7 linked regions of the Ovis aries genome follow. The protein of the gene in region 3 binds, or shares a complex with, the protein of the main gene of each other region. Links are inferred from orthologs where the notes say so. Each region holds a gene or a part of one and is shown on either strand. Other genes may lie near its edges.

Region 1 (4,263 bases), on a different chromosome or scaffold from region 3:
ACTTTGCCAACTAAGGTCTGTCTAGTCAAGGCTATGGTTTTCCAGTGGTCATGTATGGATGAGAGAGTTGGACTGTGAAGAAAGCTGAGCGCCAAAGAATTGATGCTTTTGAACTGTGGTGTTGGAGAAGACTCTTGAGATCCCTTGGACTGCAAGGAGATCCAACCAGTCCATTCTAAAGGAGATCAGCCCTGGGTGTTCTTTGGAAGGACTGATGGTAAAGCTGAAACTCCAGTACTTTGGCCACCTCGTGCGAAGAGTTGACTCATTGGAAAAGACTCTGATGCTGGGAAGCACTGGGAGCAGGAGGAAAAGGGGACGACAGAGGATGAGATGGCTGGATGGCATCACGGACTCAATGGACGTGAGTCTGAGTGAACTCCAGGAGATGGTGATGGACAGGGAGGCCTGGCGTGCTGTGATTCATGGGGTCGCAAAGAGTCGGACACAACTGAGCGACTGAACTGATACTATTTAAATTTTACGATAACAATATGACCAACCTAGACAGCATTTTAAAAAGCAGAGACATTACTTTGCCAACAAAGGTCAGTCTAGTCAAGGCTACAGTTTTTCCATTAGTCATGTATGGATGTGAGAGTTGGGCTATAAAGAAAGCTGAGCACTGAAGAATTGATGCTTTTGAACTGTGGTGTTGGAGAAGACTCTTGAGAGTCCCTTGGACTGCAAGGAGTTCCAACCAGTCCATCCTAAAGGAGATCAGTCCTGGGTGTTCATTGGAAGGACTGATGCTGAAGCTGAAACTCCAATACTTTGGCCAACTGATGCGGAGAGCTGACTCATTTGAAAAGACCCTGATGCTGGGAAAGACTGAGGGCAGGAGAAGGGGAAGACAGAGGATGAGATGGTTGGATGGCATCACCGACACAATAGTCATGGGTTTGGGTGGACTCCGGGAGTTGGTGATGGACAGGGAGGCCTGGCATGCTGCGGTTCATGGGGTCGCAGAGTCGGACACGACTGAGCAACTGAACAACAAAAAATGTTTAGAAATACTAATTTCAATAACTTATTTGGGGGGCATTTGCGTCTTACCAGTACTCTTCTGTTAATGAACCGCTTTTCACAAGTAAAGCAACTGTGCTTGCGTCTGGAAAGCAGGGCCTCCAAAATAATTAGGGGGCTCTGTGTGGGAGTGAACGGCGACGAGCCCTTCTTCAGAGAGGTTATCCTCTTCGTTCACTCCCTGGTCCCAGTCGCACCGAGGAAACTTGAACGCCGACTCACTGGAGACACAGTAGGTCTGAAGCAGCCGCCGCCTCTAAGACGCTCATGACACTAAACCCACCTTCAGCCCCAGTACCTGAGCGGAGTCCACGCCCCTGCCCGGCCCGGGCGCGCGCACGCACTGGCCGGCGCACACGCTCTGCGGGCGCGCGCACGCACTCGCCGGCGCTCACGCTCTGTGGGCGGGCGGGCTCACTCGCCGGCGCTCTCGGCCTGTGGGAGCGCTCCGCGCCCGGAAGGACTGCTGAGCGGGAGGGTCCGGTGTGGGCAGAGGTGGGTGCGCGGCTGGAGACGGTGGGAAGGGGGCGGCGAGTGATGCGCGGGTGTGCGATTCCAGGGGTCCCCTCGCCTTGGTTTCTTGGCCGGGGGACAGTGGCGTTCCTGTGGCGGGATCGGGGTCGGAACTTGGTAGACGCGGGCCTGGCCCTGCGGGCGGCGCATCGACTGCCCCTCGGGGTGAGCCCCCGTGAGCCGGGGGCTCCGTGGGCTCCGTGGTGAGGCTCCGTGGGCTCCGTGGTGAGGCTCCGTGGGGTGGGGCCCCCGTGGTGAGGCTCCGTGGGCTCCGTGGTGAGGCTCCGTGGGCTCCGTGGTGAGGCTCCGTGGGCTCGGTGGTGAGGCTCCGTGGGCTCCGTGGTGAGGCTCCGTGGGGTGGGGCCCCCGTGGTGAGGCTCCGTGGGGCGGGGGGTCCCGTGGGTGTGCCATGGGGGGGCTGGGAGGAACTGGCCGGTGATTTCCCTCCACTCCCCCGCAGACCCATTGGCTCAAGATGTCGTACATGCTCCCGCACCTGCACAATGGCTGGCAGGTTGATCAGGCCATCCTTTCGGAAGAAGACCGCGTGGTCGTCATTCGATTTGGGCACGACTGGGACCCTACCTGCATGAAGATGGATGAGGTTCTGTACAGCATTGCTGAAAAGGTAAAGCAGCCACACCTCCCGTCACGTCCTGCCGCCAGGTTTGGTGTTTGCATCCTGTCGGATTGCTGTTGTTTTGCCGGTAAGAATTAAAAGTACAGCCAGTTCACCGGTTAAAGAGAAGCAGTAGGATTCACAGAAGTACAGACATACCTTGGAGTATGAGGATGGGCTCCCTGAAATTGGTCAGAATAGCTTATATCCTTACTGGCAGAAGTTTCCATAGATTCTCAAATTTTTAAGAGGTTCATGATGTCTCTCCTTGAAGAAGTGATTCTTATTAATTTATAGCGGTTTTAACTCATAGGTGTTTTCAAAAATTTACATCTATAGTGCCAGGAGCAAAACACGTTTGCAGCATTTGGCTGAGTGTAGGAGCTTACTTTGAATGGCTTAGTTTAAAAAACTTGACTTTTTTTTGGTACCGTGTTTGTTTGTTGTATGTATTGAGCAGAACATCTATGGTAACAACATAGTAAATTCCCTTCTTTTTCTTTGAGTCCCTTCTTTACCCCAGGGTGCTCTTTGTAAGTGACTTGATTTATAGCTTAGAGTGATACCAGTGTAGGAAACACTGGGAAAAGGTAGAACTGTAATGTTAGAACTAGTTTTCCTAATCCTTAAATTTAGTACAGGGGGTTGTCTGTGGCCCTTTGCTGACAATAAAGAGCAATTGTAGGGTACTGTTGAGTAACTAGGGCTTAATTCTCTTTCTGTAATTGTCTCATGGGTATTTTAAGGTAAATTTGATTTAGATTTTTGCAACTGTAGTAATAGGGCAAGAGGCAAAAATATTAGGGTATTAATAAAAAGTTTAATATTCAATGTTAATTTGAGAGGTTATTCATTTTATTAAAGAGTATAAAAATAAGGGAAACATTGAAGCCATCATTTATTTCACAGGAGTAAGATATGCTAGTATGGGCTGGATTAAAATAACTCCTTTGAGTAAAGAGTAACAGGTGTAAGGATATAGTTTGTATTTAGGAATTGAAAAGTAGTCTGACCTGCCATCAGTAATTTTCACTGTCTCCTCTTTGGTAGGACAGGCAGAGTGAGGTAGGGGTGATGGCACTCTGAACATTAGGGACTATCTTTCTGTGTCTGTCACCGAAAGTGCATCTCAGAGAGTCTGATCCTGGAGATCTGAGATGAGATCCAGAAGCTCCCCCAGGAATTCTGAATCCCTTCAAGGAGATCCAAGTCAGAGCAGGAGTCTGTGGTGATAACCTTACCCTCCTCTTCCTCTTGGACAGAAAGGTGTTGAGGGAGCTTGAAGAGATGCCTGGGGAACTCAGGAGAGCAGGGTTCTTCCAATTGGGTCCTCCCTGTCAGGTCCGAGGTCAGGAGTGAGGTGGTGCCCAGAAGTCATTTCCCCATGACTTGAGCCACAGTGGTTAAGGGCAGAGACTGCAGAAGTCAGTGATGATGGATGAAGACCCTGTTTCAGTAAGTGAATCACTGCTGTGTGGACGCTGATGTAACTTAGGTGGGTGTTCTGGGTTCTGCCTTGCAGGTGACAAGTAAGCATCAGGGGATGTCCAGACCCGGTGGCCCTCAGCACGAGGCTAGAATGGCAGAGGCGTGAGGGTTGTTTGCTGTTCATATCTGAGCAAAACTCAGCAAGATACTCTTAGCTAGGAGACAGATTTTGTGTCAGTGTAAGTTTTTAGGGACTTTTACCAGAATTGTTCTTTTCTAATCCCTATGTAGCGGTCAGAGACCAGATTGCTATACTGCTAGCAGGTGGCTCTTTTTGGAATGGAACCTGTTGGTAAGAACAGTTTAATTGGGCTCACTTGGAGTATTTTTCTCTAGTCTTTTAAGTGATTCTTTTTCTTTTATCCCGATTTCTATTTTAATAAACTTCTAATACTATGTAATAGTATAGTCTTTAAAAATGCAAACTTGAAATGCGTTACACAAATGTTAATGTTCTATTTTCTGCTTAGTGTAAGGGCAGAATATGAGTTTATAATTTTGGAAGCCCTTTTTGGGGACGTTCAACAGGAATTTTTGAAATCTAAGGTTTTAGTATAAAGAACAATTTAACTGTCTATCTCCCTCTGCAGAAATGGCAGATAATGGGAGATCTTCCT
Region 2 (3,641 bases), on a different chromosome or scaffold from region 3:
CCAAAATACAGACCAGAAAAAAAGAATGCAAAAGGTAAATATAATAAAACCTGAAGCATTCTTCTACAGACACATATATATAAAACAAAAGTCCTATCAACCTTTGACTAACTGCTTTCTATTCTTTCAAAATACCTGGTTGATTTTAATTATTAAATGTAATCAACGCTTAATCTGAAGAGCCAGAACAACTGTGAAGACAAATGCATAACGTCATTCCTAGTGGAGAGGAAGGCAAAGACTCTCATGATTATTTGAACAAAACAAGGGAAGGAATTATTTTCTAGTCTTGAAGATTCATTGCTATTAACCATATTTTAAGCAAAGCAAGACTCAGATCAGTCCTAAAAGTCAGGGGTAGTGCGTCTTCTAACATTAATTTCTTAGACTGCTAATTTTGAAAGTATAAAACAGCACTTAGTTGTATCTAACAGCACTACTTTCTAGTCAGACATTACATGATACAAAGATTCTATGATATATAAAACTTATGATATAAAAACAGAATTAAATGTTACCACAATAAATTTCAAGTGCACACAGAAACACTAAATATACAACACAAAGCAAGAATCAGAGTAAACATAAGAAGTATATAACCATAATGCATCCTGATATGAATATACCGTAAACTTGAGAAGTATGGATCATACCAGTGATAATTTGTGGTTCCGCAGCCTGACACCTCACTGTAGCCACCGCATTAGTATGTCCAGATAATGTGTGTACACTGGCTTTAGTTCTCACATCCCAAATCTATAAAAACAGCACACAATACCTCAATGAAAACAGGTATTCCTATCTTCAGGCAAGTAACAAGATCAATTCAAGCATGGGAATTGACTAGAAAACTGTGTGGACCTGTCTGAATAGAATGAAGAAAGTGTGTAAATGAAATAACCTGTCACATTTCGGGGGCAGGCGCCCAACAGTGGACATGGCGAGGCCACAGAGCTGGGGATGAAGACTAGGAGGGATACTGACGGGTCAAAGTAAGGATCTTGAAATTCTCTATCCAGAAACACAGACCTCAGGATCGAGCCAGCACCCTGCAGGAGGCCGTGTATGCACAGACGGGCTCCAGTGCACTCACCCGTGCGGTTGAGTCTCGGCTACAGGTCACCAGCACATCGATGGTCGGGTGCAAATCCAAGCCGTACACGGCACTCAGATGTCCATGATAGTGCCTTATAACCTAAAAAAGAAGGGAGGAGAGTTAACATATCTGTAACTGGGAAGATAAACAGGGGCTCATGATGATTTCTGTCCTCAACTCCACACATACCTTATTATACTCGAGATCCCAGCATTTGACTTGCTTGTCTTCTCCACAGGAGAACAGGTACGGGCTCCTCGTGCTCACTATCACACCACGTACTGTGCTTATGTGCCCAGTTAACGAGAGTTTCAACTTGCCACTAGCCAAGTCCCAGATCTGCAATCAAAAAATGCTTAATTTTATTCTTGCTGATTATTTCAAAGCAAATGTTTAGAATCTTAATGTGAAAATTGTCTTCAAAAGTGAAAGACAAAAACATATAAAAATATCAAAGTTTGCAAAATAACTCTATCACCAAAAATAAAAACAGGAGAAAGAGAATTAAAAGGCATGCTCAAACTGGGAAGGTATTTGCATAGATGACAAAAAGTCCTTAATATATAAAGGGTATTGAGCCAAAGAATGAATACTGAGGTATTAAATTAGTCAAGGATGGCATCAACTTAAAAAAAAAATCCTGCAAAGTAGCAAATAAAGTATTAAAAAGTTCAACCTCACTACAAATTTTATATATAGTTTTCCTTTTTAAAGATTAGATATTCCTTTCTACTTATATTAGTGTGCTAAGTTGCTTCAGTCACGTTCAACTCTTTGCGACTCTATGGTCTGTAGCCTGCCACGCTCCTCTGTCCATGGGATTCTCCAGGCGAGAAACTGGACTGGGTTGCTATGCCCTCCTCCAGGGGATCTTCCCAACTCTGGGATCAAACCCACATCTCCTACACTGCAGGCGGATTCCTTACCGCTGAGCCACCAGGGGAGCCCATCATATTAGTAGGTATTTTCGAAGAAACGTAAGTAATGTCCTGAAAAGGATCCTCTCATATGCTGTAAGCATCAATTCACCCAGTTTGGAAAATAATTTAACTTTTGGATATCAACTTCAAGAATGTCTGACCTTTTAATACTTTTTCTGGCAAACAAGAACAAAGCAATACAGAAAATACAGAAAAACAATACAGAAAATTTAAAATACAGAAAAAGCTTTCAGTTCAGTTCAGTCACTAGTTGTGCCCGACTCTTTGCGACCCCATGAATCACAGCACGCCAGGCCTCCCTGTCCATTACCAACTCCAGGAGTTCACTCAGACTCACATCCATCGAGTCAGTGATGCCATCCAGCCATCTCATCCTCTGTCGTCCCCTTCTCCTCCTGCCCCCAATCCCTCCCAGCATCAGAGTCTTTTCCAATGAGTCAACTCTTCGAATGAGGTGGCCAAAGTACTGGAGTTTCAGCTTTAGCATCATTCCTTCCAAAGAACACCCAGGGCTGATTTCCTGCAGAATGGACTGGTTGGATCTCCTTGCAGTCCAGGGGACTCTCAAGAGTCTTCTCCAACACCACAGTTCAAAAGCATCAATTCTTCAGTGCTCAGCTTTCTTCACAATCCAACTCTAGCATCTATACATGACCACTGGAAAAACCATAGCCTTGACTAGATGGACCTTTGTTGGCAAAGTAATGTCTCTGCTTTTGAATATGCTATCTAGGTTGGTCATAACTTTCCTTCCAAGGAGTAAGCGTCTTTTAATTTCGTGGCTGCAGTCACCATCTGCAGTGATTTTGGAGCCCAGAAAAATAAAGTCTGACAGTTTCCACTGTTTCCCCATCTATTTCCTGTGAGGTGATGGGACCAGATGCCATGATCTTCGTTTTCTGAATGTTGAGTTTTAAGCCAACTTTTTCACTCTTCTCCTTCACTGTCATCAAGAGGCTCTTTAGTTCCTCTTCACTTTCTGCCATAAGGGTGGTATCATCTGTATATCTGAGGTTACTGATATTTCTCCTGGCAATCTTGATTCCAGCTTGTGCTTCTTCCAACCCAGCGTTTCTCATGATGTACTCTGCATATAAGTTAAATAAGCAGGGTGACAATATACAGCCTTGATGTACTCCTTTTCCTATTTGGAGCCAGTCTGTTGTTCCATGTCTAGTTCTAACTGTTGCTTCCTGACCTGCATATAGGTTTCTCAACAGGCAGGTCAGGTGGTCTGGTATTCCCATCTCTTCCAGAATTTTCCACAGTTTATTGTGATCCACACAGTCAAAGGCTTTGGCATAGTCAATAAAGCAGAAATAGATGTTTTTCTGGAGCTCTCTTGCTTTTTCCATGATCCGGTGGATGTTGGCAATTTGATCCCTGGTTCCTCTGCCTTTTCTAAAACCAGCTTGAACATCTGGAAGTTCACGGATCACATACTGCTGAAGCCTGGCTTGGAGAATTTTCAGCACTACTTTACTAGCATATGAGATGAGTGCGATTGTGCAGTACTTTGAGCATTCTATGGCATTGCCTTTCTTTGGAACTGGAATGGAAACTGACCTTTTCCAGTCCTGTGGCCACTGCTGAGTTGTCCAAAT
Region 3 (4,428 bases):
CCAAACACTACTTCCATGACTTGAGAAAGTTACTTAAGTATCCTTTGCCGCACATCCCTCCAGCAAAATAAAAAATGAATATTAATAGCACCAGGTCAGAGTTAACAAGACTGAAAGAGAGAACACACAAAAAGTGCTACGTCACGTAAAGTGAACACCAGCCACTTCCGCATATTGGTATGGCCCACACAGGAAAAATCCACAAACAAGGTTCCTCTGGGGCCTCCTAGCTATGACTTCCTCCCTCTCCAAAAACGCGTGGCTCCACCCTCTGGCTGCCTTACCTGGTCCCCAAGGGCAGCCTGGATGAAACTCAGCAGCACTTCATAGGTCTCCCGGGTCTCCTTGGTCTTGGGCTTGTAGATGATGCCCACCATCTCGTCGATGCCCTCTGAGAGCAGAGTGTAACCCTTCATCTTGTTGATGTCGTGCCGGTCCTCATCACGCTTTCTTCGCCTAACAAACACACAGTATGACACTGAACAGGTAGAACCTTCCCTGTTAATGGTAAGACTAAGGCAAGCCCACGCTCCCCTTCTCAGCTGCATGATTCACAGGCAGTATTTAAAACCACAAATGTGTGCCTCAGCAAATGATGCCCATCGGGCCTCAGTCACTTGCGGCAGTATCTCTACGGGAACACGGTAAGAGCAAGGGAATCCCGTCATCCTCTCACTAGATGCACTGCATGCTGAGACATCCCCCCCGTTCATTTAAAAAGACAACCCTTTCTACTTTGTATCACAACATTATATGATCGGATTTGACTAGTTTTCATCCCTCAGACACATCTTCCTTTCCCTGCCAGAGAACTGAAGCTCCAAAGGAATCTACTGCCATTGATTCCTGGAAAAGAAGTCATACTCTGCAAAATGGAGGACCAATGATAAGTAACTCATCTCAAATATAACTGCTTTAATCAAAACTGGACCTATGAATTTTTGAGACTTCATCATGGGACAGATGATGATCAGGCTCAAAGGATAACCATGAGATAAAGTTCAATGATTCTTTAAAGTCTGGAAAAATATCCCCCTTCCCCAAGGTAAAAAACCAACTAAAAAGCAAAACAAAACACCAGCCTTTCACGCTCAAATGGTAGTTTATAACAACAAAAGAAAAAGCAGGCAACAGCAAGCCAAAGAAGTAGCGGAAAGTCAGTAATAGAAGGAAAGACTTACTCTGACAAGAGTTTACCAAGAGTCTTGAAAATACCATCAAGAAAATTAAGATCTCTCTATGGATGTTATGACCAACCTAGATAGTATATTCAAAAGCAGAGACATTACTTTGCCGACCAAGGTCCGTCTAGTCAAGGCTATGGTTTTTCCTGTGGTCATGTATGGATCTGAGAGTTGGACTGTGAAGGCTGAGCGCCGAAGAACTGATGCTTTTGAACTGTGGTGTTGGAGAAGACTCTTGAGAGTCCCTTGGACTGCAAGGAGATCCAACCAGTCCATCCTGCAGGAGATCAACCCTGGGATTTCCTTGGAAGGAATGATGCTAAAGCTGAAACTCCAGTACTTTGGGACCTCATGAGAAGAGTTGACTCAACGGAAAAGACTCTGATGCTGGGAGGGATTGGGGGCAGGAGGAGAAGGGAACAACCAAGGATGAGATGGCTGGATGGCATCACGGACTCGATGGAGGTGAGTCTGAGTGAACTCCAGGAGATGATGATGGACAGGGAGGCCTGGTGTGCTGCGATTCATGGGGTCGCAAAGAGTCGGACACAACTGAGCGGCTGATGGATGAGAAACACATGCTGGAAAAGGGTCTAAAAGCTGTTTTCCACTTCAGGTACACTTGTTAAGGCCAAAGAATCTTTCCATTCTTATGTTGTTACCTTCACTGAGTTGTCTTAATGCCACTGATGGCTCATCCTGCACCAAGCAATTCAGCAAAAGCACTGCTCAAATACCAAGGGAAAATGGATTCTGCATCTGAGGAAAAATCATTTTTTCCCTTTGATACTCACTTAGCTCTTCTTTCCTCTTGCATCTGTGGTTTGGTTCGTTGAGCCTTATCTCCCATCCGGGTGCCCTCCAGCTTCCCCACCAGGGACAGCACTTCTCCTGTGGGTTCATCCCGGCGGGTCCGGTCAATGAGAGAGCGATCAGCTTGGAGGACAAGATTCGAGTTCTGAAAAGACCACAATATTATTGAAGCTCTGAGGTAAGCAGGACTCAACTATATCACAGGGTTGCCAGCTGACAGCAAAGGAAGAATCTGAGCGACTAAGTGTCGATAATCACTAGTCGAAATAAAAAGATGTTTTCCTTGAGAAGCGCATCGTATGATCGCGCATGAGCAAAGGGCAAACAAATCAACATAACAATCACTGCTTCTAATACTGCTCGTAATAACTCCCACGTGGGAAAAGTGTCGGGCACGTTGGGGATGATACATGGAAGGGGGCGGGAAGAGCGCTGCCGGGACTGGGACAAACACTCCTCGCAGAGCTCTTGGCCCACGCCGGTAAGAGCTGAGCCCCAATCACCAGTGGGGTCATTCACATCGCCGTGTACCCCCACCTTCGCCAGGTTCTGACTTCTCCTCTGCTTTCGCGGTTCTCGCGTTTACCTTTAGACTGAAACCCCCTTCCTCAGCCTCCCGCTCCCTATCAGACTCCCCCGCCCGGAGCCCTCTGCCGAGCCCATACGCACCGCTTTGTACTCGTACTGCAGGCTACGGGCGGTTACATCCGCCATGGCCGCGGCTGCTCAAGAGTCTCAGAACTCCGCTCCCAGGACCACACGCTAACAAACGGTGCCGGAACGAAGCAGGCGGGACGCACTTCGGCCGAAAGAGAGAGAGCAAGATGGTTTCCCTTCCACTTCCGGGTCGGACGCCGGAAGTGCAGGCGGGAAATAGACCGGGCGCTTGCGCTCCGGTTTGGGACCGGCGAATCCTGGTACCCTCGAACGATGGTTCCGGAACCACGGCCCGTACTCTCCTGGGCTCTGGCCTGCGGCTCCCAAAGACTTCCCACATCAAGCGAAACGTACGCCTGCTTAGCACCCTATCCTGTCCCAAGTGCTTTTTTAACCCCTTCTTCCTCTGGTAACAGTCCTATGAGCTATGCAGGCTAATGAGCCGGATTTCTGGCTGAGGGAACTCGCACCTTGCAACAGACTGAACCGCGCGTGTGCGCGTGCGTGCGTATGTGTGTTATCTTCCTTTCGGTTTTTCCTCTGTATTAAACAATTGATAACAAAGCTCTGTTCCTCACCTACCCCCACCTAGAACCCATGCTTCCGCGACCTTCGTTCTGGGCACCCAGGCGACTCCCCTTTGCCCCTAAATGCCTGTCACGTTCTGCAGGAGGGCCCTTTCCAAGGCCCCGGGAACATCAGGGAAGGAAGTAGCTGCCCTCCCGCCGGGGCCAACTCGTCGAAGACAGTGACTTAATTTCTTCTCCAACAATGAAGCGCCCCGCACCCCCATCCCCCGCCATGGAGAGGGGCAAGAGGCACCTCTGCCCTCCTACCACTAGTCAACCAGTTCTACTCTGTAAAAAAGACCCTGATGCTGGGAAGGATTGAGGGCAGGAGGAGAAGGGTTAGCTACACAGGATGAGATGGTTCGACGGCATCACCAACTCAATGGACATGAGTGTGCGCAAACTCAGGGACATAGTGAAGTGTAAGGTCGGACCCCGGGGGCCGTGATGGGCCGCCCCTCCGCTCCCTCCTGTCAGCGAGAAGGTCCCTAACGCAACGATCCTCCCAGATCCCGGGGACCATGACAGCACACTTCGCTGGTTGCCGTGATGAGCCGCCCCTGTTCTTCCCGGCCGGCGGGGGAAGTCCCGAAGGGAGGGCGCCTCCCGGATCCCGGGGACCAATGACAGCACACCTCGCCGGCTAAAGCCGCCCCACCCCAGCCACGCAGAAGGACCTGTCAGCCCGCGACGCCTCGCCCTGGCGACCTATCCAAACCCCCATCCATCTAGCCTGACCATCCCTCGCAACTAGCGTACAAAAGCCACCCGCAGCACGGTCGGGCGCGGACTTCCTCGACCTGCCTCCTTCCGGTCCGGGAACCCCGCCCGGGAGCGCTTCGCCATTAAAAAGCCTGTTAGACACTCTTTTCAGGGTCCTGGTCGTCTTTTACCTAACATGAAGGATAGGGAAGCCTGGCACGCTGCTGTCCATGGGATCACAAAGAGTCAGACACGAAGAAGACTAAGTAAGAACAATTAAAGACTGAACAATAACAGTTACGTGGAATGGTGATGAAGAGCTGAATGGTTACTTGGAGCCTGTTTGCTTTTTTTTTTTAATTGCTTTATTAACTACATTTTTTTCATGCAAATGGGTGAAACTTTACTGTTGACAGATACTTAGATTGTGTGCTAAGGCAATCTCCAGTTAGAGGCTGGTAACACAGAACCCACCTGACACATGGAAATTACATAAGGGTCAC
Region 4 (4,376 bases), on a different chromosome or scaffold from region 3:
GACATAACTTAGCGACTCAACAAATTCTATCAAGTGAAATATGTGTCAAAGGAATACAGAACTGCTGAACTTTAGTTCTCGAAATGTTCTTTTTAAATGGCTTTCCTTCTATAAAGTTAAAACAAATTTCCAATTTATCATCTATACCATTAAAAAAAAATTTTAAACCCAAGGTTTCCACAAACTAAAAAACTATTTGCAAATATTTCTTAATAGCTATAACTTCTCAAAGTTAAGATGAGATTAAAATATTTCAAACTCTCTTAATTTGACAAAATACAATGTGAAGTACCTTAAAAAAATAAACAAAACCATGACTGCTCTCTTGATTAAAAAGGAAGCAAGGCGACTGGCCTTAGGCTTTGGAGTCAAATTTAGTTTAAATCCCAGTTTGGCTCTGCCACATACATTCATATGACTCTGGGAAAGTGACTCTTTTTCTGATCCAGGTTCTTAGCTTAGAATGCAGGGCTAGTTCTTCCTCACAGAGTTGTACTAGGATTAAGTGATGTAACACACGGGACATGCCTGGTACATGACACATGTTTAATAAATGGCAAAGTCTGACACTTGGTAATTGCCACTTAAGGACCCACTGAGAAAAACCCCAAGGATTAAAAAGAAAAAAACATCAGTTGCAGAGTAGGAAGATAGAAGAACAAATTCTATGAATTATAGAAGACAATAAAGTTTAGCAGCCTTAAAACTTTTTTGAAAGTTAACAATCATGAATTATAAATGAAATTAAGCCACCAAAAATCATGGAATAAATTCCTCAGATCAAGGAGAGAATCCAAGACTTTTCTGGAATTAAAATGGGATACAGCGATAAAAGGAAAAATGAGATGAAATACACTTCAATATTCATCATAATTTATTCTACAGAAGCACGAGATTCTACAACCTAAGAATATCTGAAGATTAACAATGTACATGTCTTAAATGTTCATTATATAGAGGTAGTATCTAAATCTTTTTTAAAAGTTTCCAAAAAGCACACACACACATTTAAAAAAAAAAAAAAAAAAACAACCTGTATGATTCATGTAGTAGATGTCAGAGCACTAAATGAGGAAGGAAATAAAAGATGAAGCAAGATAAATACAAAATATAGACAAATATCTGCAGACTAGACCAGAAGTTCTCTAAGGGCAGATTCTGTTATTCATCCAAGCTTCTAGAAGAAGCCTTGTATGTAACTTACAGCCAATGTTTATTAATGAAAAAAACAAAAAAAAAAACGGATTGGCAGCTATTTATCAAAGAGATAAAGAGTTGAATCATAAGAAAACTGCAATGCAGGTGTACTCTGGTGCCTAGGCACTGGAGATCAGAGGTTGTACATAAAAATTTACAACCAGTAAGCCTTCAAGAGTGGGCTTCCCAAGTAGCACTGCAGCAAAGAATCCACCTGCCAATGCAAGAGACGCAGGAGATCCGGGTTTGATCTCTGAGTTGGGACAATCCTCTGCAGCAGGAAATGGCAACCCACTCCAGTATTCTTGCCTGGAAAAGTTCATGGACAGAGGAGCCTGGCAGGCTACACTTCAGGAGGTCACAAAGAGTCTGGGACAACTGAGCATCACAGGCAGAAAAGCCTAAAAGAAAGCAGAGAATGAATACACCAAATACTTACCACAATCATTCTCCCATCAGAAGTAATGACAGCAACAGTTCCTGATAACTGAATCAAGGAAAGCATTTCTAAGGGAATGCAAACTGAAAACTTAAAATCTGGTAAGTAAATGGCTTAAATTACTAGGAAAAAAGGTGACAGAATTAAGATACAACTATTTAACACAGCCACATTTACAACATAAAATTGTATGTTCTTAATTCTCTGTGACAACTACACAATCTAAAAAAGGAAAAATAGAAAACATCCTTTTTATGAGATCAGTGTATTCTATCTTAAAACAAGCTGGGATGTTTGGTACTCATTTTTAATGAGGGAATATTGCAAATATGAAAATTGAGCAAGATATTTTTCCTTTTTTTAAACCTGTTTCATCATCTCTGAAACGAAAATTGGATGAGTGCTATTCAATGTCAAATGATTTAATACGTTAAGACACTGTCTTCTAGGACCTGCCTTCTGGAATTCAAAAGAAACTATAATCAATATCACAAGTATCAATATGCTTGCATCATTTAAAAAGAAAAACCTTTAGCATTCCACTTTTGTCCCAAATTTGTACATGAGAGCACAACGTAATGTTTCTGTCCCGAGACTTTAAAATGGTGCATAGAGTACTATTACAGGAGCTTTTTAAAGCTATTTGCCCCACAAGCCGATCTATTACAACAGCAAGCATTATTTTAATTCCATCAACAATAAAGTTGAGATTTCAGCTGGTAAAGGGGCAGACATTCGATTTTTGCATCATCTGTAAAGTTTCTGCTATCCTTGAAGACTGAGCAAAGCCTATGAATAAAACAAACACATAGATTTGTGAGTCCACCGTCGCAGCTGGTAAAACTATCTTATTCCCAAACGTGAACGTATAGGCCCGAGGGAAATGGAAAGGGTGAATCAATAACTGATTTCTATAGAGACACGGAAAAGTTCAGAATAATCTTGTCGGTTTTGCTCGGCTTTTCCATCAAGTTAAGACGCCTTGGACCAGCAGGAGCTGCGGGCTCCAGTCCCAGGGGTGAGCCTCCTTAACCTCTGTATCCCCACCCCGAGACCCAAGCCCGTCAGTGGCTCGGTGCCCCAACCGCCCGCCGATCCCGACCCCTGGCCTTTCCAGCACTGGTCCACTCCGGGGCCAGACGTGGGCCTCACCAAGGCCTTAGCTAATGCCCGCGATAGCCGACTGAAGGGTACGGTTGATGTAGTTCTCCAAGGCGGACGTCATGATACGCGACCTGGCAACTGGAAACACAAGAGCCCCGGCGTCCAGATGAGCTAGAAAGGACCGCCAGGGAACAGCAGCCTCTCTCGCCGACTGGCGGCAGCAAATACCGCGAGAACTACCGCAGGGCGGCCTCCGCGAATCAGAGACTGAAAGAAACCGGCCAAGCATTCCCGAGATGCAAAGCGACGACGGCCTTAATGCGCGTGTGCAGTATGTTTCTGCTCTTGCGGGTGATATTGGAAGCCGGAAAGAACCAAAGAGAACGGGCGGTGGGAGAAAGAAAGAAAGAAGCTCCCTGAAGATGGGGAGAAGGTGGGCGAGCGCGCTTCATAGCGGAATGGAAGGCTTTAGTGGCAGAAGTTACTAAGGGGAAATGTTGAGAGAAGATGGGGAAGGCAGGAGAAAACCGAATAAGGTTTTTGTTGTGTGTGTTTTTTTCCCCACAAGTGAAGTAGAGACTAGTGCTGTTCTGGTATGAAGTGTAGACGCCCGGATGTGGAATCCCTAATTTTGTACTGCAGAGGCCGAAAATTAACGTTTTAGAAGCTAAACGACCCCGGACAAAGTTCCACAGTTGTACCGTATGGTATACATATCTGGAGAAGTCAGTAGTTAAAAGCATGTTCGCAGTTTGCATTTGCTTCTAAAAGTGCTGCATCGTGTTCACCCGCAACTATCAACCATTGTTATTGTGAATGGGCTATACCCCAATACAAATGTTTTTGTTGTTAAAAAAAATTTTTAAATGGTGCATCGCGGCGGCGTTGTCACTCATTCATTTTGTCACTCTGCCGTGTCAGAGTCTTTGCGACCCCGTGGACTGTAGCCTACCACGCTTCTCCGTCCATGGGATTTTCCAGGCAAGAGTTCTGAAATGGGTTGCCGTTTCCTTCTCCAAAGGGTCTTCCGGACCCAGGGATCAAAACCGGGTTTCCCACATTGTAGGCAGACGCTCTGGAGAAGGCAATGGCAACCCACTCCAGTACTCTTGCTGGAAACTCCCACGGACGGAGGAGCCTGGTGGGCTGCAGTCCATGGGGTCGCTAAGAGTCGGACACGACTGAGCGACTTCACTTTCACTTTTTACTTTCATGCATTGGAGAAGGAAATGGCAACCCACTCCAGTGTTCTTGCCTGGAGAACCCCGGCCTGGTGGGCTGCTGTTTATGGGGTCGCACAGAGTTGGACACGACTGAAGCGACTTAGCAGCAGCAGCAGCAGCAGCAGGCAGACGCTCATTGGAAAAGACTGATGCTGGGAGGGATTGGGGGCAGGAGGAAAAGGGGACGACAGAGGATGAGATGGCTGGATGGCATCACCGACTCGATGGACGTGAGTTTGAGTGAACTCCGGAAGATGGTGATGGACAGGGAGGCCTGGCGTGCTGCGATTCATGGGGTCACAAAGAGTCGGACACGACTGACCGACTGAACTGAGTCAGATGCTTGACAGTCTGAGCTAATAGGGACTGAATCCAAATGGTAGAGTGTGAGTCTTCCTTAGGAAACAGTCTTT
Region 5 (2,585 bases), on a different chromosome or scaffold from region 3:
ATGTGGGAAAACTAAAATGGAAATAGCTCTCCCAAGACTTTCATTGGTATGGGAGCTAAAAGGGAACTAATATTTTCTATATCTACTATGTACAAGGTCTTTTTTATATACCATAACTCATTTAATCCTCACAACTATCCTGGGAGGTAGGTGGTGTTATCTACATTTTATAAACAAGAAAATCAAGGCTCATAAAATTAACTTCCACGAAGTCTCACATGTAGGAAGTGGTAGAGTCGAGATTCCATCTCCATTCCCATTCTTTTCAGAACACACACCTGCCTCTTCAAGAAGAGAGCTGTGGGACTTCTTGGGTGGTCCAGTGGCTAAGACACATGGCTCCCAATGCAGGGGGTTGGGGTTCAATCCCCATTCAGGGAATTAGATCCTACATGTCACAACTAAAAGAACCCACATGTCGCAACAAAATTGAAGATCCTGTGTGCCATAGCTAAGACCCAGGGCAAACAAACAAATAAATAAATATTAAGGAAAGAAGAGAGCTATATAGCTGATTCACTTTGTTGTACAGCAGAAACTAACACAACATTGTAAAGCAACTGTACTTCTCCCCACCAAAAAAAAAAAAAAAAAGAATTCAAAAGAAAGGAAGAGCTGAAAACATATGAATATTTTTTTAAGTTTTGTTTTTATTTTTTATTTTTTTTTATTTTTTTTATTTTTTATTTTTTTATTTATTTTTTTTTTTCTGTATCGCGCCGATCACATTTATTGGAAGGGTTGGAGAAAAATAAAAATGCCGTTTAGCTGAAGTATTTGTGAGTTATCTACAAATCAACTTATTTCAGGAGTGGAAGAATTCTTGCTTATTTTCAGCATCAAGATGCACATCGGTCTCTCTTTGGAACATCTTCCACACTCAAAGAGGCCACCGCACAGCACAGCCCGTCTCCCACAGGCGGCGGATTCTCGTTTCAGCCAACTCTCAATGGCGGGGCAACCAGCACAACGCCGTCTCCCCGCACAAAGAGCATCGGAATATTCCGTTTTGTTGATTTATATATTTCTTCATATGTTTCTTCATCAATTTCTATAGTTGTCACAGTTTCTTCCACATCTCCCAATATCATATTTAAATGTTGATCATAAGCGTGTAACCGGCCTCGAAGTTCTCTGTCGTTTCTCATCTTCACGTAGATGCGCTCGTCCAGGCTGAGCCGGATGAGATCCAAGGGCTCTTCCACAGTGTTGGTGGTTTGTTGCTGGTCCACGTCGTCCGCCATCTTTCAAACCCTCTTAAGTTTTGTTTTTAATGTGGACCGTTTTTAAAGTCTTTATTTGTTAAAATATTGCTTCTGTTTTATGTTTTTTTGGCTACAAGGCATGTGGGATCTTAGCTCCCTGACCAGGGATCTAACCCATATTCCCTGCAATGGAAGGTGAAGTCTTTCTTAACCACTGGACCACCAGGGAAGTCCCCACAAAACGCATTTTAATTGAGTGAAGAAAATAAAACATTTCATGTTTACAAAGACAAAAGACATAGCAAAGAACTTGTGGAAAAGCTGAAACCAAGAAAAATGAGATTTTTGGAAGTTGGAAGACAGACCTTGACCAAATGAGATCATCTTTAGGAAAGAAGTAAAGCCTGGATCCCAAATTCTCTACTGCGTTACCCAGTATTTTCTCACGTGATGATGTAGCAACCACTTGGTAATCATGGAGGAAAAGAATGACATCTGGAGCCAGGCCGACAAACCAGAGCCAGCCACGTAAGATGGTGCCGAATGAAAATACTAGCTTCCCCAAGACACTCAGAGATCTTTCCCCAGCTTTTGGATGGCAGAAGGCAACGACAGGGCTTGCAGCCAGTGCCCCAGCATCTTCCTCCTCACCCCTTTTGACTTTATTATTCCTGATAACCTGGTCATGCATATACAGCTACCAAACATTAAGTTTTCTTGAAGTCTCACAGCTTTGGGTTTTCTTACCAAGTCATGTGACTCAGATCTAGGCCTAGGAAGTAAACACTGTTTCCTGAATCTCAAATACCCACTCTACTTATGTTATTCTACACCTCCAAGAAGCTCTTGTCAAAACAAGATTAAACACGGCAAGATTTTATTAGGAGAAATGACTGTATGAAAGTAATTAACCTCCAATTAAAATAAATAAATTTATATTTAAAAAAAAAGAAAATAGAGAAGGAGCTGTGAGTGAAGCCTGACTGGTAAGGAGGGAAAGAAGAGAAAAGGATGTATGGAAGCAGTTGAGACTACCAGGCAGTCTAAGGAAACTTCTGCAAGACCTTGAGCCAAAGTTGTCCAACAAAGGAGTCCACATGTCTGCCTTAGTATCCCTGCTGTACTAAGTCATGGGTGCTTCCCTGGTGGCTCAGATGGTAAAGAACCTGCCCACCAATGCAGGAAACCCGGGTTCAGTCCCTGGGTGGGGAAGATCCCCTGGAGAAAGGAATGGCTATCCACTTCAGTATTCTTGCCTGGAGAATCCCATAGACAGAGGAGCCTGGCGGGCTACATGCAGCTGCAAAGAGTTGGACACGACTGAGCTACTGAGCACATTCATTACTGTGATTACTAAGGACTATCTCTCTTGCTAAATTT
Region 6 (4,336 bases), on a different chromosome or scaffold from region 3:
CGTCCAGCACGAGGTTGAGCAGCGGGTCGAACCCTTTCAGGATTCCACTGGCTTATCGGAATCACCAAGCAGAGAAGAGAGATGGACAAGCATAAGATCAATGGTCATTCTGGGTAAAGTGCGAGCTGCACGAGGGTGTCAGCACATGAAATTGGGGTGCCCTCACTGGTGAGGGACCACCCCCCAGCCAGACGCAGGCGTGGCAGCAGCCTCTTCAGGGACAGGACAGATGCAGGACCAAAGGGGGAGCAAGGGAAGGGCTCCCAGGAGACGAGCAGTGACAGCTGACCCCACACCATTGCCACTGCAACAGTCGGCAAATCCGCCTGCGCCTGTTTTGTAAACAGTTTAACTAGAGCCCGGCCCCGCTCATTTGGTAAATGTCGCTGTGGCAGCTCAGCTGCTGAATGGTGGAGTTGAGGAGCTGCGACAGAGACCGTCTGGCCAGCACAGCTGAAAATGTTCCCTGTCTGGTCTTCTGCAGAACAAGTCTGCCAGGCCTGCCTGAGTGCGAGGCCCTGGCTCTGCTTCCTCTGCTGTTGACAGCCCTCCTCAACCCTGTGACGGTGCTCACCAAGTGGGGTGATGGAGAGTGACAAATCCCAGAATCCATCTGGGCACTTGGCCCCGGGTTGGGTAGTGAGCCCACACCTGTGGATCCTCCCTTCTTACTGGGGGAGGTGCCGCAGCAGGTGGGTGGGATTTTCAGATGAATCCAGCATTCCCCCACCCCTCCCTCTGATGTGAGATGGGACCCTCGATCAGACGTCAGTCTGTGGTCAGGCTGTAACAGAGGGCTTCGTGGATGTGATCAAGGTCCATGAATCAGTCCACTCTTAGTGGATCTAAAGGGAGGCTATGCTGGGTGGGCCTGACCTACAGGTGAGCCATTAAAAGGATGGGCCCTTTCTGAAAAGAGAAGTTGAAAAAATTAGATTTTTCTGCTAGCCTTGAAGGAGTCAACTGCCATGCTGTGGACAGTGTCTGTGGCAGAGGCAGTGGGCAGCCTCTAGGAGCCCAGAGGGTCCCTGGCCAACACTTGCCAGAAAACGAGGACCCCGGGCCTGAGATACAGGCTCCCAGAGATGCTCCCTTACTGCAACCTCGTCAGAGACCTGAGCCTGAGGCACCTGGAGTCTGGAACCACAGGTGCTGTGAGATAAAAATGGGTTGTTGAAGCACAGAAAATGAACAGAAGGGACTTCCCTGGTGGTCCAAGTGGTTAAGAATTCATTCTGCAGTACAGCAAATGTGGGTTCCATCCTTGGTCTTACATTCCATGGAGCAACTAAGCCCATATGGCATAATTAGAGAGACCTGGCCTGACATCTGAGACCTTATGCAGCTAAATTAATTAAAAAAAGACAAACACAAGCGCCTTGAGAAGCAGGAGCCCCATCTCCTTGTACATCCCAGAACCGGCATGGTGCCAGTGTTTGTTCAGATTCAGAGCCTCACTGGGCTGGGTACCTAGACGGGCAGGCACTGTGTTTTTAGCCACTCTGATGCTACCCAGGCGTCCACATCTCAGAGGAGGAGTCGTCTGAATCACCATCTTACCAACAAAGAAACTGAAGATCAGAGATAGCTGAATAAGTGAAGCACTGGGTGCTGACTAAGTGTCAGGAACTTGGCTAATGACATTACCCTTTAATTTCACCACCACTGCTGAGGTAAGTGGAGTTAACAGCCTCTGACAGATGAGACAGACTCAGAGATTATAGCGACTTGCCCAAAGTCCCACAGCCAGTGAGCTGGGGCTCTGCCCTGGACGGCACTCTCCACGTAACCTTGCATCATCTTTCCTGCCAGTCTCCTCACGAGATCGCAGAGGGAGATGCAGTTAAAGCCTCACAGTAACTGAAAAAAACCTGCCAAGCCCTGACAGCTGTTACCAGGAGCTTATACCAAAGGACCCTGACTTGGGATGCAGAGTCAAGCAGAGCTTCCCAAAGCAGCTGAGAGCTGCCTGCCTCACTCAAAAGCAAAAGGCTCATTCTTTACCCTGGAACAGTGGTGAACAAGGAGATGAGGTTTGCTTTCAAAAGGTGCCTCAGGTGGCTTCGTGTAAATTGAGTATAGGGCCTGGGTTCTCAACTGGGGCAATTCTGCCCCTGCCAGGGAACACCAGGCCAGGTCTGGGATGCCTGTGGTCATCAGAACTAGAAGGCTCCTGGAATCGAGTGGATGGGACCAGAGATGCTGCTCCACACCCTACAGCGCCCAGGACGGCCCCCTACAGAGAACAATACGGTCTTAATGTCAGCAGTGCTGAAACTGAGAAACCCTGGTGCTGAGGGGGCCCATGGGGGGCTGGGGCAGCCGCCAGGGTGAGACAAGACCCAAAGGAAGCAGAGACCTGAATCCTAGCCCCTGTGGCTGCGGGCGAGGTTTGGGCCCCTTTGCGTGCCTCAGTTTTCCCACCTGCAAAAGGGGTGTAACCGTTCCTATACGCCGGCGCCGGCAGCAGGCCGGACGAGTTGTCCGAGCCAAGCGCCTAAAGCGCGGCCCAGGCATCCGTTACCGGTACCGCCTCCCGTTACTCCTCGTGGACTGTGGAGGGGGAGGGCAGCGGGGCCTCACCTTCTCTGCCTCCCTGGAACTTCACTCGGATGGTCTTGTCGATGTACTTGGATAGATCCAAGATGCTCTCTTTCTTTTTCTTCTCTTTGTCCTGCAGGGGATGCAGAACGCTGTGAAGCGGGGAGCACGGCTGGACTCTCCCCAGTCAACCCCACCAGCCCCGCGAACCCCGCCAGCCCGGCGAACCCCGCCAGCCCGGCGAAACCCGCCAACCCCACCAGCAGCGCCGCACGCTCACCGCCATCTTGTCGCGCCGCGTCGCTATGCGCAGGCGCCGCCACTGCGCCCTTTGTACCTACCCCTGCGCGCATGCGCGAAAGACGCAGGGCGCCTGCGCGGCGCTCTGCGCCGGGGCGTTGCTGGGAAACATCTGCCGACGCCTGTGGCGGGGACCGGGCGACATGGCGGCGGCGGCAGCGGCGGCGGCGCTGGCGCGGCTCGCAGCGGCCTTCCTTCTCCTCGCGGCCCAGGTGAGGGCGGCGCCGACCCCGTTGGCCTCGCCGGCCACGGTGCCCCGGCTTCTCACCCCTCCCTGGCCCCGCGCAGAACCCCGCCCTGACCGGCCTGGGGCCAGCTTAGGGGATCCGCGCCCCCGGTGCCGGCAACCCGTGGGCCTGGGGCCCGACCGTGACCTTGCGGGTCTGTCCCCCGGCCGGTCTCCCTTCTCTGTCTGGACGCCGTTCCCAGCCGTGGTGTCACTGGGTTCCGCCCGGACCTAAAGTTTTAGGTCCCACTACCCCGCTTCCGCCCCGGCCCCTGCTGGTCTGTCTCGGGGTCTCCAACCGCCTCTGGGACTCCCCTCTCTGACTCCGTGGCCTTAGTCGGGGGCTACCCCTCTCTGACCCTGGCATCCCCTTGAAAGCGATACTACCCCCATTCCCCGTGGTTGTAGTCAACTGCCCAGCGTGGCACCCAGTGACTGGCGGCGTCGAGAAGCGTCCAGGAGCCCAGCCCTGGAATGGGGTCGAATCGCCGCCCCATCTTTTTCTGCCGTGACCTTGGCAGGGGAGTTCCCGCTTTGAGTTGGTCGTCTGCAAAAGGAGGATAAGTGTACAGTGCGCAGTCAGCGAGATGATGTAGGGGATCCCGGACGTGGGGCATGCTACTTGTTTGTCACTTAACCTCAAGGGTCGCCACTGGGGGACAGACCTGGAGATGGCTGATGTACGTTACCTTGAGTGCATTTTTTATTTTCCAAACCCTCCCTCTCTCCCAAATTCCATAACTCCGGAAATGGTGCCCCCCCCACCAACAGCCCTACAAACTGGGCCATTAACGTTGCCCTTTCTGTGCCAGCCCCCCAACCTCTGCTTCAGGCTGCTGGCTTCTCTCCAAGGCCGCTTTTGTCCCCCAAACTCCCAGTTCATTTTCAGCCCTGCAGGAGGGATCTCTTTCAAAGTGTGTCAGATCTTGTGTCCAAATGAGAGCTTTCTGGTGCCACTGACACATTCAGGAGGACTCTGTGATCCGGCTGACAGGAAACCATCCTTTGTTTCCAACTCTAGCATATTAAAGGCACTTTGCTCACTGGGCTCTGTTTCCCTGAAACCTAACTCCCTCCAACGTTGTGTTTCTGGTCTCAGCTTAGGGGTGCCACATTCCAGCAGCTTTCTGACCCACCTCCTCCCCAGGTGCTTTGCCAGCTCCCTGTATTTCCCCCAGCCCTATTTGCTCGTCTCCCTCAGCAGTCTGACCCATTGGAAGCAGGGATTTTGAGCTCTCTAAATATTTAGAAAAAGGAAAAAAAATGGCA
Region 7 (4,281 bases), on a different chromosome or scaffold from region 3:
TTTATTCTAAGTGCAGTGAATTTTTATTCAGGAGAGTAACACTACTTGGTTCACGATTTTAAAAGATCACTCTCACTTTTACAGGCAAAGTTAACTGTGGGAGAAAAGTGGGAGCAAGAAGATCATTAGGGGACAATTACAATCCAGGTAGAAAATGATGCTGGCTTGGACTAAGGCAGTGGAATGAAATTTGGGGTATATGCTGAAAGTAGAATTGGGAAGACTTGCAAGTAAACTAGATGAGAAAAGTGAAGGGAAAGGGATTTAAGAGGAGCGCTGGGATTCTGGTTTGAGTAACTAGCCTGATGGTAGTAGTGTCCTTTACTGAGATGTGGCAGATTAGGAGAGTAATTAATACCTTTGGTAAGAAAAATCAAGATTAGCAATTTGAATTTTATGAGGGAAGGGACTTTTTCTATGCTTTGTTTCATTTAACGTTCAAGGAGTTCTGGGGGCGTTGGTGGGGAAAGCTTTTTTCTGTTCGATGTTATGAGCTCTTTACATTTGAAACTAAGGTGGGGGGAGTTCAATTTTCATTTGTTTAACAAATATCTACTGAGCATCTACTGTGGCCAAGGATTATGTGATTAGATACCAAGTTGAACTGGAAAGGCAAACAAAATCCATGCTCCCAGAGGGCTTTTGGTGGGGGAAGGAGTTAGGACGATTGGTGATTTTTTAATTTTCCTGTTCGTTACCTTATGAAAACTTTCCCTAACGCATGAGTAGCCATCTTACAATAGTAACTGCATCTAGGGCTCCTGGCAGTTGGGCCACCGTTCTAAACGTTCAATGTCTGTTAGTATATAAATGAATCTCGACAGTGACACCTCCCCTCCCACTAGAACTTAGGCTTTTATAAAAAGTAAATATTTTAACGAACGTTACGAATACAACCTTCGTTGTGAAGACTAATATTTTTGCAGGAATGGTACCTTTATAAAGATCGTGGTTGCCCCCGTACATATTTGTTCTTTCTTCATATCCAATTAAATGCAAATACTACTTTCCGTAGCCCAACTCTCTAGGCTTGTTGGGTCTAGCTCAGGAGTAAGGAAGCAGGAGCCGTTGGATTTAAACAGTTTGGTGTAATCCTTTTCTATGCTCTCTCGCTAGCCGGGGACTTGGTGTCGGCTACTCGGGGCTCTTCGTTTACGCAGTACCGGAATGAAGGAATCTGGGAGGGGGTCGGAAAAGGAAAAGACGGAACACACATTAATTGACTCTCGAAGCTACACAACAACGTTCAGGGTCTACTCTAAAGCACTGATTTCAAATGCCCGCCCCCTGGGCCGTTTAAGCCCCGCCCCGTGCGTCGTCACTTCGACTTCCACCTTGGTCTCCGCTGACTGGTCCTTGCCTCCGCGGGCGCCTGACGAGCTTGGGGTTTGCTTCCGGGTCTTGGGATTTTTTTTTTTTTTTTTTTTGGGCCGCGGGTGCAGAGGTTTCTGGGAGCGGAGAGTCAAGATGGCGTCTGTATGATCTCCGGAGGTAGCGGCGTTGGAGTTCGGCCAAAGTGAGCGGCAAGAGGAAAGCAGACTGTGGGTTGGACCGTAAGGGGCAGTTGGCGGCGGAGGCAGAGAACTCGGTGCGGGCCCTGGAGGCGCCAGACGAGGAAAGCCTAGTGTGGGTGGGGCCGGAAAGGGGTAGTTGGGGGCGGAGGCAGAGAATCCAGTGCTGACTGAGCGGTCCCCACAGGGGCCTGACGGGGAAAGCGGCCTGTGGGCGGGGCCGGAAGGGGCAGCTGGGGGCGGAGTCAGCTAACCGGGTTTAGGCCGCGGAGGCCCAGGAGCTGCAGACCGGAGAGCCATCTGTCGGTGGGGCCGGAAGGGGAAGCTGGGGGCGGAGTCAGAGAGCCCGTAAATGCGGAGGAGGCGGTGGAGCTGCGAACTGGTGGTGGGGCTCCGCGCCTAGCGAGCGTGTCCCTGGTCTCCGATCGGCTCCCGAGAGCGCAGCGCCAAGGCATCTCGGCAGAGGGCCGCCCCTCGCCCCCTGGGATAGGGGTGAAGAGTCAGCGAGTTCCCTGCGACAGCCCGGAGGTGAACTCCCCGCCCCAGGGATGACTGTTTTGGGGGGGAGGCGGCGATGCTCCCCAGAGACCTGAAACCCTGTTTCTGTCTCTCTGGATACATCCCTCTCCCTTTTTTTTTCCCCGGAAAATCTAGAGAAGTATATCATTTCCCCCAGTTTTTCCCTGACACTTGCTTCTCTGACGCTTGAGGATGTTTCAGTAACCACAAACGGGTCCCTAATTTTTGGTTATTACAGTCCTTTGAGGGTGGGCTCTTGTGTTTCCAGCATTTCTTAAATTGTAACTTGGAAAAGATCTAATTTATATTATGTTGGCTGCTACTGGAGGAAATTTGATCAACAAAAGATTGTTGGAGATATTTGCCTATGTAACTGTCATTGAAGCTTAACACACTTTTTTTACTAGAACACTCAGTAACTTTGTCAGTGATTTTTTTTTTAAGATGTCTTTGCTTTTGTAGTTGTTAGCCTGTTCTGCTGTGTGAGGTTTAGATGAAATGGGAGTAAGGAGTCCGGTGGCGTGAGGTTGAGTGGAGATGTTTTAAATTCAGACATGGCTGTACTGTATTTTATAAAGGTTTTGATATGTCACGTCTCCTGATTTAATAACCTTTTGAGGAATATCCCCATTTCACAGATGACAGAAACTTAAACTTGGTGGCTTGCCAGGGGTCACAGATGTTTGAGGGAATGAGCTAGGGAAATTATTTCACAAGGATGGCTATAGATTAATGCTTTTCAAAATGAGAGTTTGTCATATTGAAAATAACTTGACAGTGTTTTTCTTCAAAGCATAAAAGATGACAACAGCAGCTCGGCCAACTTTTGAACCTGCAAGAGGTGGAAGAGGAAAAGGTGAGGGTGATTTGAGCCAACTCTCAAAGCAGTATTCAAGCAGAGACCTACCCTCTCATACAAAGATAAAATATAGGTAATGAAGCCTTTTAGTTTTTGTTTCACAAGCAAGACCAAGTCTGTTAAATGATGTGGTCATGAGGTAGCATGTTGGGGTTACTATCACTCAAGTTATCTGTTTTCATAGGAGTAGAATGTAGTAGTGTTTCAGACACCCAGAATTATGCTCCATGATTTTAAAGTGCTACCAGATATTCCTTAAGCAGAAATTCCAGTTAACCAGGAATTTCTATATGTAGATTGAACAATGACTAATAATACATTCTGTCAGGAGGAGCAAGCACTATCAATACAAATCAGTATGAGATTAAAAGTGTTGCTGTAACAAGCCCTGAGTTAGCATACTAACAAAAAGTATAAGCGTTTTGATCAACCTGCTGCCTTACTATGGGAAAGTATGTTGATTTAGTTTGAGGTTCTTAAAGGTTGTTGATTTAGTTTGAGGTTCTTAAAAGTATGTTGATTTAGTGTGAGGTTTTAGACATCACAGGATGCCTCTTAGTAACTTTTGGATTAGACTGATGATTTTGTTTATCCCCTAGTGGAGTTTTCTGCTTTAGGACTCAGGCTGAAGTTGTGTTTCTTGAATTGTCTTCCATTACTACAGCCGTGTGTTTTTTAGAAGTAACTTTGCCTTGTCTTGTTTCTACTTTAGACAGACCACTCAGGATGCCCCTGAAGAAGTTCGAAACCGTGACTTCAGGAGAGAGTTGGAGGAGAGAGAGAGAGCTGCTGCAAGAGAAAAAAACAGAGATCGGCCAACCCGAGGTACCAATACTACCTTAGACATCTCTCATAACATTATGTTGACAGTAGTTTTTCTTTCATGTGGTAATAGGAATGGATTATTATTTTTGTTTGTTTGCTTTTAAATGTGGGGTGAGAGCTATAGCAGTTTCTTGAAAGATTAGATTGGATTGGATTGATTGGATTAGATTATATTGGATTGGATTAGAGATGATAATGAAGTTGATACCAATTTCATCTTATTATGCCTCTGTTTTAGAAAGAGCTAGGGGATATTTAGCAACTGTTATTTCAATTCAGATTAAGGAGTTTTTGACTATTTACAGCAGCCAGACTTTTTAAGGCCCCATGGTTTCTGTCTATGAAATTCTTCCATTTTTATTTCTAGCATGTGTAAACTGTATCCTAAGTTTCCTGAGGCTACAGTTTCCATAATAAAATCAATACTTTTGTTAACTCATTCGGCAGGTATTTGTCAAGGACTTACTTGCCTGCCACTGTTGTTATAGTCCCTACTGTCATGTTTAAGACCTAAGCTCTTGGTGCCCACAAGTCCCTAAAATGTTACAAGAAATGCAGGATTTGATT

What was found.
Region 1: SNRNP200 (region 3) and TXNL4A share a complex: the UniProt entries of both Homo sapiens proteins name them as parts of the U4/U6-U5 tri-snRNP complex. The link is inferred for Ovis aries from reciprocal best matches to the Homo sapiens genes SNRNP200 and TXNL4A.
Region 2: SNRNP200 (region 3) and PLRG1 share a complex: the UniProt entries of both Homo sapiens proteins name them as parts of the minor spliceosome. The link is inferred for Ovis aries from reciprocal best matches to the Homo sapiens genes SNRNP200 and PLRG1.
Region 4: SNRNP200 (region 3) and LSM8 share a complex: the UniProt entries of both Homo sapiens proteins name them as parts of the U4/U6-U5 tri-snRNP complex. The link is inferred for Ovis aries from reciprocal best matches to the Homo sapiens genes SNRNP200 and LSM8.
Region 5: SNRNP200 (region 3) and U6 snRNA-associated Sm-like protein LSm3 share a complex: the UniProt entries of both Homo sapiens proteins name them as parts of the U4/U6-U5 tri-snRNP complex. The link is inferred for Ovis aries from reciprocal best matches to the Homo sapiens genes SNRNP200 and LSM3.
Region 6: SNRNP200 (region 3) and LSM7 share a complex: the UniProt entries of both Homo sapiens proteins name them as parts of the U4/U6-U5 tri-snRNP complex. The link is inferred for Ovis aries from reciprocal best matches to the Homo sapiens genes SNRNP200 and LSM7.
Region 7: SNRNP200 (region 3) and CWC15 share a complex: the UniProt entries of both Homo sapiens proteins name them as parts of the minor spliceosome. The link is inferred for Ovis aries from reciprocal best matches to the Homo sapiens genes SNRNP200 and CWC15.

The regions. Positions count from the first base shown.
Region 1 is NC_056076.1:701,200-705,462, forward strand, and holds the start of TXNL4A (thioredoxin-like protein 4A), read left to right. Parts: upstream 1-1,442; 5' UTR 1,443-1,521; intron 1,522-1,999; 5' UTR 2,000-2,014; coding exon 2,015-2,167; coding exon of another isoform or gene 2,168-2,246; intron 2,247-3,877; exon of another isoform or gene 3,878-3,938; intron 3,939-4,236; coding exon of another isoform or gene 4,237-4,263. UniProt on the Homo sapiens protein: Plays a role in pre-mRNA splicing as component of the U5 snRNP and U4/U6-U5 tri-snRNP complexes that are involved in spliceosome assembly, and as component of the precatalytic spliceosome (spliceosome B complex).
Region 2 is NC_056070.1:3,080,037-3,083,677, reverse strand, and holds part of PLRG1 (pleiotropic regulator 1), read right to left. Parts: intron 1,436-3,641; coding exon 1,286-1,435; intron 1,196-1,285; coding exon 1,094-1,195; intron 757-1,093; coding exon 654-756; intron 1-653. UniProt on the Homo sapiens protein: Involved in pre-mRNA splicing as component of the spliceosome. Component of the PRP19-CDC5L complex that forms an integral part of the spliceosome and is required for activating pre-mRNA splicing.
Region 3 is NC_056056.1:104,063,650-104,068,077, reverse strand, and holds the start of SNRNP200 (U5 small nuclear ribonucleoprotein 200 kDa helicase), read right to left. Parts: upstream 2,842-4,428; 5' UTR 2,712-2,841; coding exon 2,667-2,711; intron 2,143-2,666; coding exon 1,979-2,142; intron 457-1,978; coding exon 285-456; intron 1-284. UniProt on the Homo sapiens protein: Catalyzes the ATP-dependent unwinding of U4/U6 RNA duplices, an essential step in the assembly of a catalytically active spliceosome. Plays a role in pre-mRNA splicing as a core component of precatalytic, catalytic and postcatalytic spliceosomal complexes.
Region 4 is NC_056057.1:84,396,416-84,400,791, reverse strand, and holds the start of LSM8 (LSM8 homolog, U6 small nuclear RNA associated), read right to left. Parts: upstream 2,927-4,376; 5' UTR 2,862-2,926; coding exon 2,831-2,861; intron 1,678-2,830; coding exon 1,637-1,677; intron 1-1,636. UniProt on the Homo sapiens protein: Plays a role in pre-mRNA splicing as component of the U4/U6-U5 tri-snRNP complex that is involved in spliceosome assembly, and as component of the precatalytic spliceosome (spliceosome B complex).
Region 5 is NC_056080.1:116,710,629-116,713,213, reverse strand, and holds U6 snRNA-associated Sm-like protein LSm3, read right to left. Parts: upstream 1,258-2,585; 5' UTR 1,245-1,257; coding exon 936-1,244; 3' UTR 633-935; downstream 1-632. UniProt on the Homo sapiens protein: Plays a role in pre-mRNA splicing as component of the U4/U6-U5 tri-snRNP complex that is involved in spliceosome assembly, and as component of the precatalytic spliceosome (spliceosome B complex).
Region 6 is NC_056058.1:19,032,326-19,036,661, reverse strand, and holds the start of LSM7 (U6 snRNA-associated Sm-like protein LSm7), read right to left. Parts: upstream 2,847-4,336; 5' UTR 2,828-2,846; coding exon 2,822-2,827; intron 2,675-2,821; coding exon 2,584-2,674; intron 52-2,583; coding exon 1-51. Other genes in the region: SPPL2B (signal peptide peptidase-like 2B), read left to right, coding at 2,847-3,053. UniProt on the Homo sapiens protein: Plays a role in pre-mRNA splicing as component of the U4/U6-U5 tri-snRNP complex that is involved in spliceosome assembly, and as component of the precatalytic spliceosome (spliceosome B complex).
Region 7 is NC_056068.1:15,092,288-15,096,568, forward strand, and holds the start of CWC15 (spliceosome-associated protein CWC15 homolog), read left to right. Parts: upstream 1-1,438; 5' UTR 1,439-1,588; exon of another isoform or gene 1,589-2,039; intron 2,040-2,808; 5' UTR 2,809-2,831; coding exon 2,832-2,962; intron 2,963-3,601; coding exon 3,602-3,714; intron 3,715-4,281. UniProt on the Homo sapiens protein: Involved in pre-mRNA splicing as component of the spliceosome. Component of the PRP19-CDC5L complex that forms an integral part of the spliceosome and is required for activating pre-mRNA splicing.